Nothobranchius furzeri: one gene and its partner. The protein of the gene in region 2 interacts with the protein of the main gene of each other region in a biochemical or structural test. Links are inferred from orthologs where the notes say so. Each region holds a gene or a part of one and is shown on either strand. Other genes may lie near its edges. The genes, in order: hpf1 and parp2.

Region 1 (4,482 bases), on a different chromosome or scaffold from region 2:
GTGTGTCCCCGGCGTTAGGGTTATGGGGGAAAAGCCTTAGAAAAACCTCTGTGGACTCCCCAGTCTAACTCTGCAGTTTACACCTCATTTCATTCTGCTTTTTATTTTAAAAACAAACAAAATAAGAAAAGTCTAGCTAAAATTATTAACTAATAATGGTAATATTATAGTTTCCCTAAGATCTAGCCAGCAATGTCCAAGAAATAATTAAATGTACTGAAACTAAATCCACTGGCAACAGGACAGTAAGCAACACACAAACACAGATCTAAGAAGTCCTGCAGCGACCTCGGCAGGTGAGTGCTTTGTCCTATCGTGGGTGAACTTTACCTTCTTGTCCCTCTGCTTCATACTTTTGGTCTTCGCCTCTAAAGACAAGCCTAAAGTCACAACCCTTTCTTTCAGCTTTGCCTCCAAGCTTTCCAAAGCGTCTCCTCCTGCGCCGTTACTGCTCCTCTCCTTCTTCTTCCTCTGCAGAAACAGGCTGACGGAGAAGAGATCAGAGACATCAACGGTCGGTTAGAGAGAGGAATGAACACCAAAAGCGGAGACAGAAAGTGCAAAAACTAAGAAATATTTCAAATAACCTGTAAAAAAGTCGCAATCCTCTTCTATAACCTGTTTTAATTGTTGACTAACTTTAATGAGAAAAACAACTAATGGTTGAGACTCACTAGACAGCTGCAAATATGTTATCCCCCATTTGTGCTATGGTGTAGCCCTTCTTGGCTTCATTTTCCCCAACAAACGAAGGAAGGGAGTCATCCGTGTCCCTGGAATATAAATAAATAAATAAATAAACAGTAACTCGTGATCTGTTGTCCCAGTTTTAGGCTCTCCCATCGATTCAGCTCAAAGCTGAAAAGTGGCGACGCTACCTGTAGTAGCCCATGTGATGCTGGGTGTCCTCGCTCCCCTTCAGGATGGTCTGAAACTCGGGGGGGTCGTAGAAGTACCGACAGTGCAGGTGGAAGTTAGGCTGAAGATTCTTGGAGATTCTGTGAGCTCCCGCCAGAACATCAAATGGACCAACCAGCACCAAGCCCAGCGTGTCTTTGAGCGCTCCTGCACAGGTTTACACAACAGAAGCACGCACATACTGGAAAGGTTAGAAACCCTTACATCAGCATAAAATAAATAACTCAACAACAATATGATGGACTCCGTGGAAAATGACGTCACCTAAAAGTCAAACAACATTAAAACACACATTTTCTGCAGGATAACCCTCTAAGACAGCCTCCAAATGCCCCACTAGAAACAGTTCACCGTGCTTTCATTACATTTAGCCTCTTGCACCAACTAAGGACTGCTGAAGAGGAGTGTTTAAGGCCTAGTCCACACGTAGCCGGTTTTTTAAAAATGAATATCCGCCCCTCCAAAAACTTGCATCCACACCACCGCGTTTTAAAGAAAACTCTGTCCACACGTACCCGGATAAATACGTTAAGGACATGCCAGACCTGTAGGCGGCAGTACTTCCCCCGTTCTTAACCTCGTCCTTCGTCTGTGTTCTTCCGCAAGGAGCAGTAATTCCGCTTGCAAAAACAAACAAGCAAAAAGCGCTTGGACAATTGATAAAGTGAGCGCGGCTCTGAGGGCATCCATGCTGTCGGCTAGTGTAAACACAGGTCGCACACGTGATGTCAGCATTTTTTTGTCGTGGAAAGTGACGTTGCGGACCTTAAAACTCCGGTTTTGTCTGTCCACACGCAGACACCCAAAACGGAGAAAACGCAGATCTTCACTTTGGCCGGAGTTTTTAAAAAGATCCGTTTTCGTGTGAAAAAACTCAGTTTTCGTGTGGATGACAGGCCAAAACATAGAAAAATATCTACGTTTTGGCAGATCCCCGGCTACGAGTGGACAGGGCCTAAATCCCAGTTGCAGCTTTAGTCCCATCAGTGGTGAGAGCAGTCAGGACGTACCACAGGGGTTGTCGGGACAAAGCTCCTTGCAGAAATCCCAGAAGTGGAACAGATCTTCTGGCATTTGTAAACCGTACAGCCGGGTCAACTCATCCCGCTGCTCTGGATTCCTTTCTGACAGCAGCACAGGTGTGGACTCATCAGTCCGGACCCTCTTCACCTCTCCATTGGCTGAATCCGACCCCTAATGAATCAGAGGAAGAAAAGAAAAATTACAAGTTTTAGTTTGTGGACCCAGGTTACACCATTGTCACTCCTGTCTCAGCCTGTTGCTGCTCTCTGATTATTAATTATATTAAAGTTTAACACCCTCCTGTTTCCTATGGCCTCCATAGTCACGGTTTGTTTTATTACACAGGTGCACCAGTGGGCGTCCTGCGTCCCCAACACCTAAGGTGTTTTATGCAGGTTGAACATTATTATAGTAGCTGAACAGAGGTAGCCGTGAGACCATCTAAAGCTCAGCTTTTATGGATAAAACACACATGCACAAGTTATCCTGCAGGGCACGCGACAGGTGACCCATCTCAAACGCTCCAGATGCGAACGCACGTGTCAGAAATGCGAAGCGGACACGATTAGACTGGAAACACAGTTTAGCAGAGAAGCAGCTGCTGCCATGTTGTCTGGAAGCGCCGCCGCTCACTCAGCTCCAGCGGTTCAGCCCGATGGTCTCACACAGATGTACCCGGAAAACAGCGACACCAGACAGAAGTCTGCGTTTGCCCCGGAGAGCCCGACTTCTCACCTGACACGTTCAGCGCAGGAAGCTTATCGGAGGAGGAGAAATTACCTGAATAGCTTTGGGTTTTCTTTTTGCGCGCCCTGTCATTTTCTTCCTCTCGTCTCGTCTTCTTCTTCTGCAGATTGAAGACAGTGGTAGAGGGTTCACCGTGACGTCGTGCGTCAGTGCCCCCGTGAGGCGTGGCGGTGTAAACATCATCAATTTTACACCTAAAGACACACACACACACACACACACACACACACACACACACACACACACACACAAATATATATATATATATATATATATATATATATATATATATATATATATATATATATAAATATAAGAAAATAAAAATAAAAAACAATAACAGTTAGTTTTAATAATTAAAATCATCCAATGAAAGGGAAAATACACATTTCTATGAATTAAGTTTTAAGTTGACTCAGCTGTTTAATTTAGACAATAAAAAAATGAATGCAGTCTCATTTTAAAGCGTGGCTGGCCCCACCACGCTCCATTCTCATTAAATGTCTCCCTCTGCTGGTCGCCCCCCCACCCTTCACCACCTGCAGTGGGTGGAGCCACCAGTGACAGCTGTGCTGTGATAGGCTTCTCCTAGAGGAGGCTGCCATGACACACGGTGGATGCTGCACAGAACAACATCCTCAGCATCAGCAATCCAGCGCTCCTGCATCCTCCTCCTCACTGTCCCTCTCTCTCTCTTTTCCTCCTCCTTTTTGCCTCTCCTCCTCGTACCACCACCCTTGCTGTCTCTTTTCTCCTGCTCGTTCTCCCTTCCCTTCGGCGGACACACACTCACACACGTCGAGGCCCTGCTTGAGCACACTGCAGCAGAGGGACGTGTACGAACACCAGCAGCAGGATCAGCAGCAGCGGGTGGACTGGTAGGTGAGCTGTGGCCTGAACCCCCCCCCTCCCCTTCTTCCTGCAGCACAAGCAAGACAGCGCGTTCTCCTCTGATCTCTGTCAAGGACTATCTATCTGAGAAGTGTGTGTGTTTGTGTGTGAGGGAGACAGAGGGCTGGGAGGACTACCACACCCTGGGATCATTTACAACCTCCGGCACAGCAGAATGAATGTTTGATGTTTTTATATAATCTTTGCTCCATCCTTCTCTTCTCGCTGAATGCATGCAGTTCCCCTCGGATGGATCTGTTTTCTGTGTCTGCTTGTGATGTTTGGTTTCCTGTTTTAATTCCACAGTACATGAATTCATTCAAGCACATGTTAGCAAGAGCACTGAACATGCAACCATTTAGGAAGTTAACTAACTACATCTTTCATGTTTTCCTTTCCAAAACCCTCTTCAACATCAGGCCATCCACCCCTCTCCTCCACCTTCTCGATTCAATCCTGTTTATCTCTTTCCTCCCTCTTCCTTACACAACTTCTACTCCTCCCAGCTGGTCGCTTTTCCCAGGATGCCTTGCCTCAGGCCACTACGGTAGGCCCCAGCAGCATGGGCGGAGCCTGGGTGGGACGAGATATCAAAGATTGGACCCTTCCTCTTAGGACGGGTGTGGTGGCGGGTCACCTACCTTCAGCTTCAGATGGGCGAGGACGCTGAAAACCCCAAAATCAACCACACCTTCCTGCGAGACTACGTCACTGAAGGTGAGTTGGGTTCACCTCTAGGGTCGGATTAGAGTGACTGAAAAAGGAAACTTGGTTTTATTTTTTATTCTGACAAACTCTGATCTTATTTTGCATCTTTAAATTCTCAGGCTGAAGATAGAAATGTGGTTAGGAGCTTTAGAAATAAGATAATGTTTTTAGTGATTCTAAATTTTATTGATATTT
Region 2 (4,368 bases):
AAACTCATGACAACTCTGAGGGGGGTGAATTTTTTCTCACTCTTCTGTTTAAGTGTATTAAAAGCCTAAAATTCTGTATAATTAATGAGCATCAGACCCACGTGACCACAGAGCTAGCTCCGGGGAAAGGCCTCAGTAGAGCCTAGGTCTGGCTTGGAAACTGCTCCAGGATTTTGAGTCTCTGTGTTTGTGTATTCTGTTTTGGATATTATTTGTGCAACTGTTGGACAAAATGACTTGCTGTGGTATTAACTGCACTAATAGAGCGTCCAAGGAGTCTCCACTTCATTTATTTCGGTAAGTAAAATTGTATTTATGTATTTTAGGTCACTGCCGAGCTGAGCTTAGATTTTAACATGTACTGTTTAACCATGAAATTTAAATGCAATAGGGGTAAAACCCAGTGCATTTAACATAATGCTGCACTTTAGAAAATGGGTTGAAATATAACATGTTGGTGGAGCTGGGTTCCGACTATCGGCTTGTGGAGCTCTCGGGAGACCGATGTTTTCCACTCGTTCTCCCCTCCCCGCAGCTCAACGCATCTCTGTCTGATCGCGGCTTCTGTCTGCTGCACGGGCTGCCGGCTTGTGGAGCTCTGGGATGGAAACCTTTCCACCCTATTCTCCCCAGTGGCAGCTCTGCGCATCTCAGATCGCAGCGGCACTTGTCTGCTGTGCGGCTGCCGGCTTGTGGAGCTCTCCAAGACCTCTGTGTTCCACCCAGTTTTACCCAGCGGTCAGCCCGGCGTATCTCTGACTCAGAAGCTCTGGTGTTGTGCACAGTTAACTCCGGTTGTAGCTAGGTTGCTACCTCCGTTAGCTTAGCTCCCACCTCCGCATTAGCTTTGGGTTAGCTTCAGGTTAGCTTGTGGCTAATTCGACCGGGTGTCGTCAGTTGATCCCAGCCTTACAGCCCCACCCTCAGCTCCACCTCTCTTCCCTTTTATGGAATTGTCTGGGCTTGACGGAACCTGTGACAGTTAAAATGGCGGTGGTGGCCACCTCCCATTTGGCCTCAAAAACGTGATATTGGAGCCTATGGAAATGAATTGTCCAGTATATTTATGTCGATGGTGTTAACGGAAATCTGCAGACATCAACCTCACCTCTGCCCCATCGCATCCACACGCTGTAACCTTTGGAGCTGTCGTCCTCCAGAAGCTGGATCAGATAATATTTATTGTTGTTAAACTGCAGATTCGTCTGCAAAAGAAAGATTTTTATCACTGCTTCAAATGACAAATATTTATAAAAACTACAATCAATGCCTATGTATTCTCTAGAATGATGTATGATGAATAAATGCTGTTACATATTTTACCTGGTTTAGCATCACGTCATAAACATCAGCTCCTTCACTGTAAACATGAGCCTGAAAGAGAAGCATGTTTGACTGAATGGACTCATAAATAAAATGTTTTCATTTCTAATGAAAGATTTTGCTTTTGCATGATAAAACGATTAACCTGCTCAAACAAGAGCTCACAAACGAAACCGTGTCTGGGGTTTTAGTTTCAAATGGGTGTCAAACCACAATCGCAGGTTTCATTTCTGTAAATGTACCTTTCCAAGTTTAGCTTTGCATTCAGGGTCCACTGGAGCTTTGCCCTTCATCACCACTGTCCTCACCACCTCTGATCAGCATAAACATAAAGGTAACATGGAAAAGTGATGCCAAGATTACCTTTTCTTTTTATCATTTTTGTTTATTTACTTACTTTGATGCTAACAAAACTATATTAATCTTACCTTCCTCTTTTGGCATCTCTTCGGTTTTTGCTGCACTCTTGCTTTGACCTCTTCTCCTCTTAGCGGTAGGCTGCTCCTCATTCTCCTCCTCTTCCTCTTTTACCTGAATGAATTCTGTGTTATGAGCAGCCTCATCATCAGCTTCCTGTAAACTCTCTTATAAAACAAACAACAAAAAACAAATGTACGATCAACAAATAATGTGTCTTGCCATCTTCAGTCTGAATTGATTTCTATAAATAAAAAACACCTGTTTTTACAGTCTTGGAGCGGATTTTTCTCTTGTATTTCGTCACAGGGTTAATCTGGACCATCTTCTTCAAATCCACTTCATATGCTGCCCCCGAGCCAAGAGTCAGAGTGACGGATGTCCTCCCTGAAGAAATGGCTGAATCAAGCAAGGCACAGGCTGTAGGCGGGTACGATTCCCACTGTCCTTCATCTCCTTTCCACTGCCACACTGTGATCACAAACAGAGCCAGAAAACAGTAAAACAGTTGTTTAAGTGCTGCATTATAGGAAAAACTGAAAATAATATTCCACAACAGACCTTTTATGAACTATAAAATACTGATATGACTTTATAAAACATGAATCAATTTCTAAACATCAAATTTCTGCCCTGAGTTGATTTCATTCATTAAATGTAATTATGTAGTTTCTTTTTACTACTTTTTAAACAAAGATGTGTTAATCAACTGGACTTTGCAGAGCCATTATATTGTTTTTCTACACTCAAACGAGGCTTTAGTTATTACTAAATTAATTAAATGTAGCAGTGAGTCACTTTATTCTAGTGATTTCCTCCAGAACTGCTTAATATTCGTGCTTTTCACCAGTTTTCGCGCCAAGTTTTGATTCAATTAGTTAAAACACAAATGTTGTCAAATATAAGTAATAGGTAGTGCAGGACATAGTTACCAAAGAATTGTGAAGATGAAAATAAAACCTAATTCTCTGTCCGGGCATGTTTAATGGCTACACTGCTTCCTTCCATGATGTGCTAAAAGCAAACACCAACCTGTTTTTGACGGGACTTCGTGGTTTTCTTGTGCGCGCTGGCTTTTATTTCTCGAACTTCTGGTTCGCCTCATGTTTGTGTATCAAAACAAGTTTATTTAACAGCAGGAAAAGCAGAAATCGAGAAGCAGTAGAAAACACGGCGGGAACTTTCTTTTCTTCGGATAGGCCTGTAGAGAGCAAAGCCTACCGAAGATGGTTTATTAAAAAGATGCCGCACTTCGTAACTAACTAGCGATGAATACAGAAGTTAGCAACGCAGCAATATACATCTGTTTACAACCAAATAATGATTTTTCTAATGATGTATATGTGGTAAAACAAACATTTTTAATCTAATCCTTCTTTTATGTGCTATTTGTTTCCGAATGTTAGCCAGTATCTGTAAACAAGATCAGAGAAAGAACTCTTCTTGTTTCCCTCGTGTAGGAACAAATCTTTAAGGCTCGATGGTTCCACTTTCAGTGGTGGCCGGAATTATTTTGTTGATGCAAATCAGTCGGTCGGTGTGCTTTACAATAGCGTGGATGAAAGTAAATGTTTACCAATATTTCAGTGCCGTTTAGACACCGAGAACATGGCATCAAGTAGCTATAAAGCCTGTGGTCTCAGTCAGAGAGTGGCTGTGGTGAAGATTTTGTTCAGGGTAAGTACTCCACCAGGTGTCTTTGAGTGCATCATTTTCACTGGAGGTCATTTATGTTTTGTGTACATTTATGGTCTGTAAATGACATGTCAGTTTGTAGAAAAGTAGCCCGGTTTGAATATTACATAAAATTATTTGTTTTCATATTTCTTTCCACAGTTTTGCAGTGACTAGTATTTTTATCCTAATGTCCTTATTTCCTTGTTTTCCTGTATTTTTCTTTTCTCTAGTACTGCTTAATATTTTGCTAAGACTGTGCTTTCTTCACACCTTACATAAATTTTTTGTATATTTTTGGAATTATTTATATGCAAACAAACATGTACCTCATACACATATTTTTATATGTCGATTATGTACTCTAACAAAGTCATATAATGCAGCCACTCTGCTTTTCATTTTCCTATTCTGACACTTTGTAATAATAATTTATTCCAGACTGTGAGTGCTGCTGCTAACCCACAGCCCAAAGCAGATTTCCTTAAAGGAGAACCCCACAGGAAACATCCTGGTATGACCAGCCTGAATACACTTCGGCTACCCCAGGAGCTCCAAGTTGCTGCACAGTCAGTCATTCAAAGTGAGATCAGCTGTCATCAACTCTAGCTGCCATAATAATAATAATAATAATAATAATAATAAATAAAACTGACAATTTTCCCACATGTTTGTTTTTTCTTTGTGTAGAAGCTCAGGTGACCCAGCTTACTGATCGCTGTCACAAACTCATAAACTACTTGTGGAGTCGAAAGCGGATGGTTGAGGACGTGACTCTGAGGCAGAAAGCATTGGGTCTGGAGAAAGAACTCTGGGAGAAAGCCATGCAGAAGATGGGAGGTGAGCGAGGGTGGGATCAAGTAACGATGTATCCATGTAGCAGCCCCTGGAGACAATAAATATGTTTCTCTTTGCAGATATTGACGAGGAAGCGCTGAGGAATCAGATCAGGAA

The links.
Region 1: the proteins of parp2 (region 2) and hpf1 form a complex in vitro, tested with the Homo sapiens proteins (2 studies listed by BioGRID). The link is inferred for Nothobranchius furzeri from reciprocal best matches to the Homo sapiens genes PARP2 and HPF1.

The regions. Positions count from the first base shown.
Region 1 is NC_091747.1:78,435,342-78,439,823, reverse strand, and holds the start of hpf1 (histone PARylation factor 1), read right to left. Parts: upstream 2,875-4,482; 5' UTR 2,872-2,874; coding exon 2,722-2,871; intron 2,113-2,721; coding exon 1,929-2,112; intron 1,066-1,928; coding exon 879-1,065; intron 774-878; coding exon 675-773; intron 485-674; coding exon 331-484; intron 1-330. Other genes in the region: ppp2r2ca (protein phosphatase 2, regulatory subunit B, gamma a), read left to right, coding at 4,233-4,296. UniProt on the Homo sapiens protein: Cofactor for serine ADP-ribosylation that confers serine specificity on PARP1 and PARP2 and plays a key role in DNA damage response.
Region 2 is NC_091751.1:41,154,921-41,159,288, reverse strand, and holds the start of parp2 (poly [ADP-ribose] polymerase 2), read right to left. Parts: upstream 2,981-4,368; 5' UTR 2,846-2,980; coding exon 2,773-2,845; intron 2,212-2,772; coding exon 2,002-2,211; intron 1,908-2,001; coding exon 1,752-1,907; intron 1,637-1,751; coding exon 1,566-1,636; intron 1,375-1,565; coding exon 1,324-1,374; intron 1,206-1,323; coding exon 1,109-1,205; intron 1-1,108. Other genes in the region: mettl17 (ribosome assembly protein METTL17, mitochondrial), read left to right, coding at 3,349-3,417, 3,856-3,997, 4,105-4,254, 4,332-4,368. UniProt on the Homo sapiens protein: Poly-ADP-ribosyltransferase that mediates poly-ADP-ribosylation of proteins and plays a key role in DNA repair.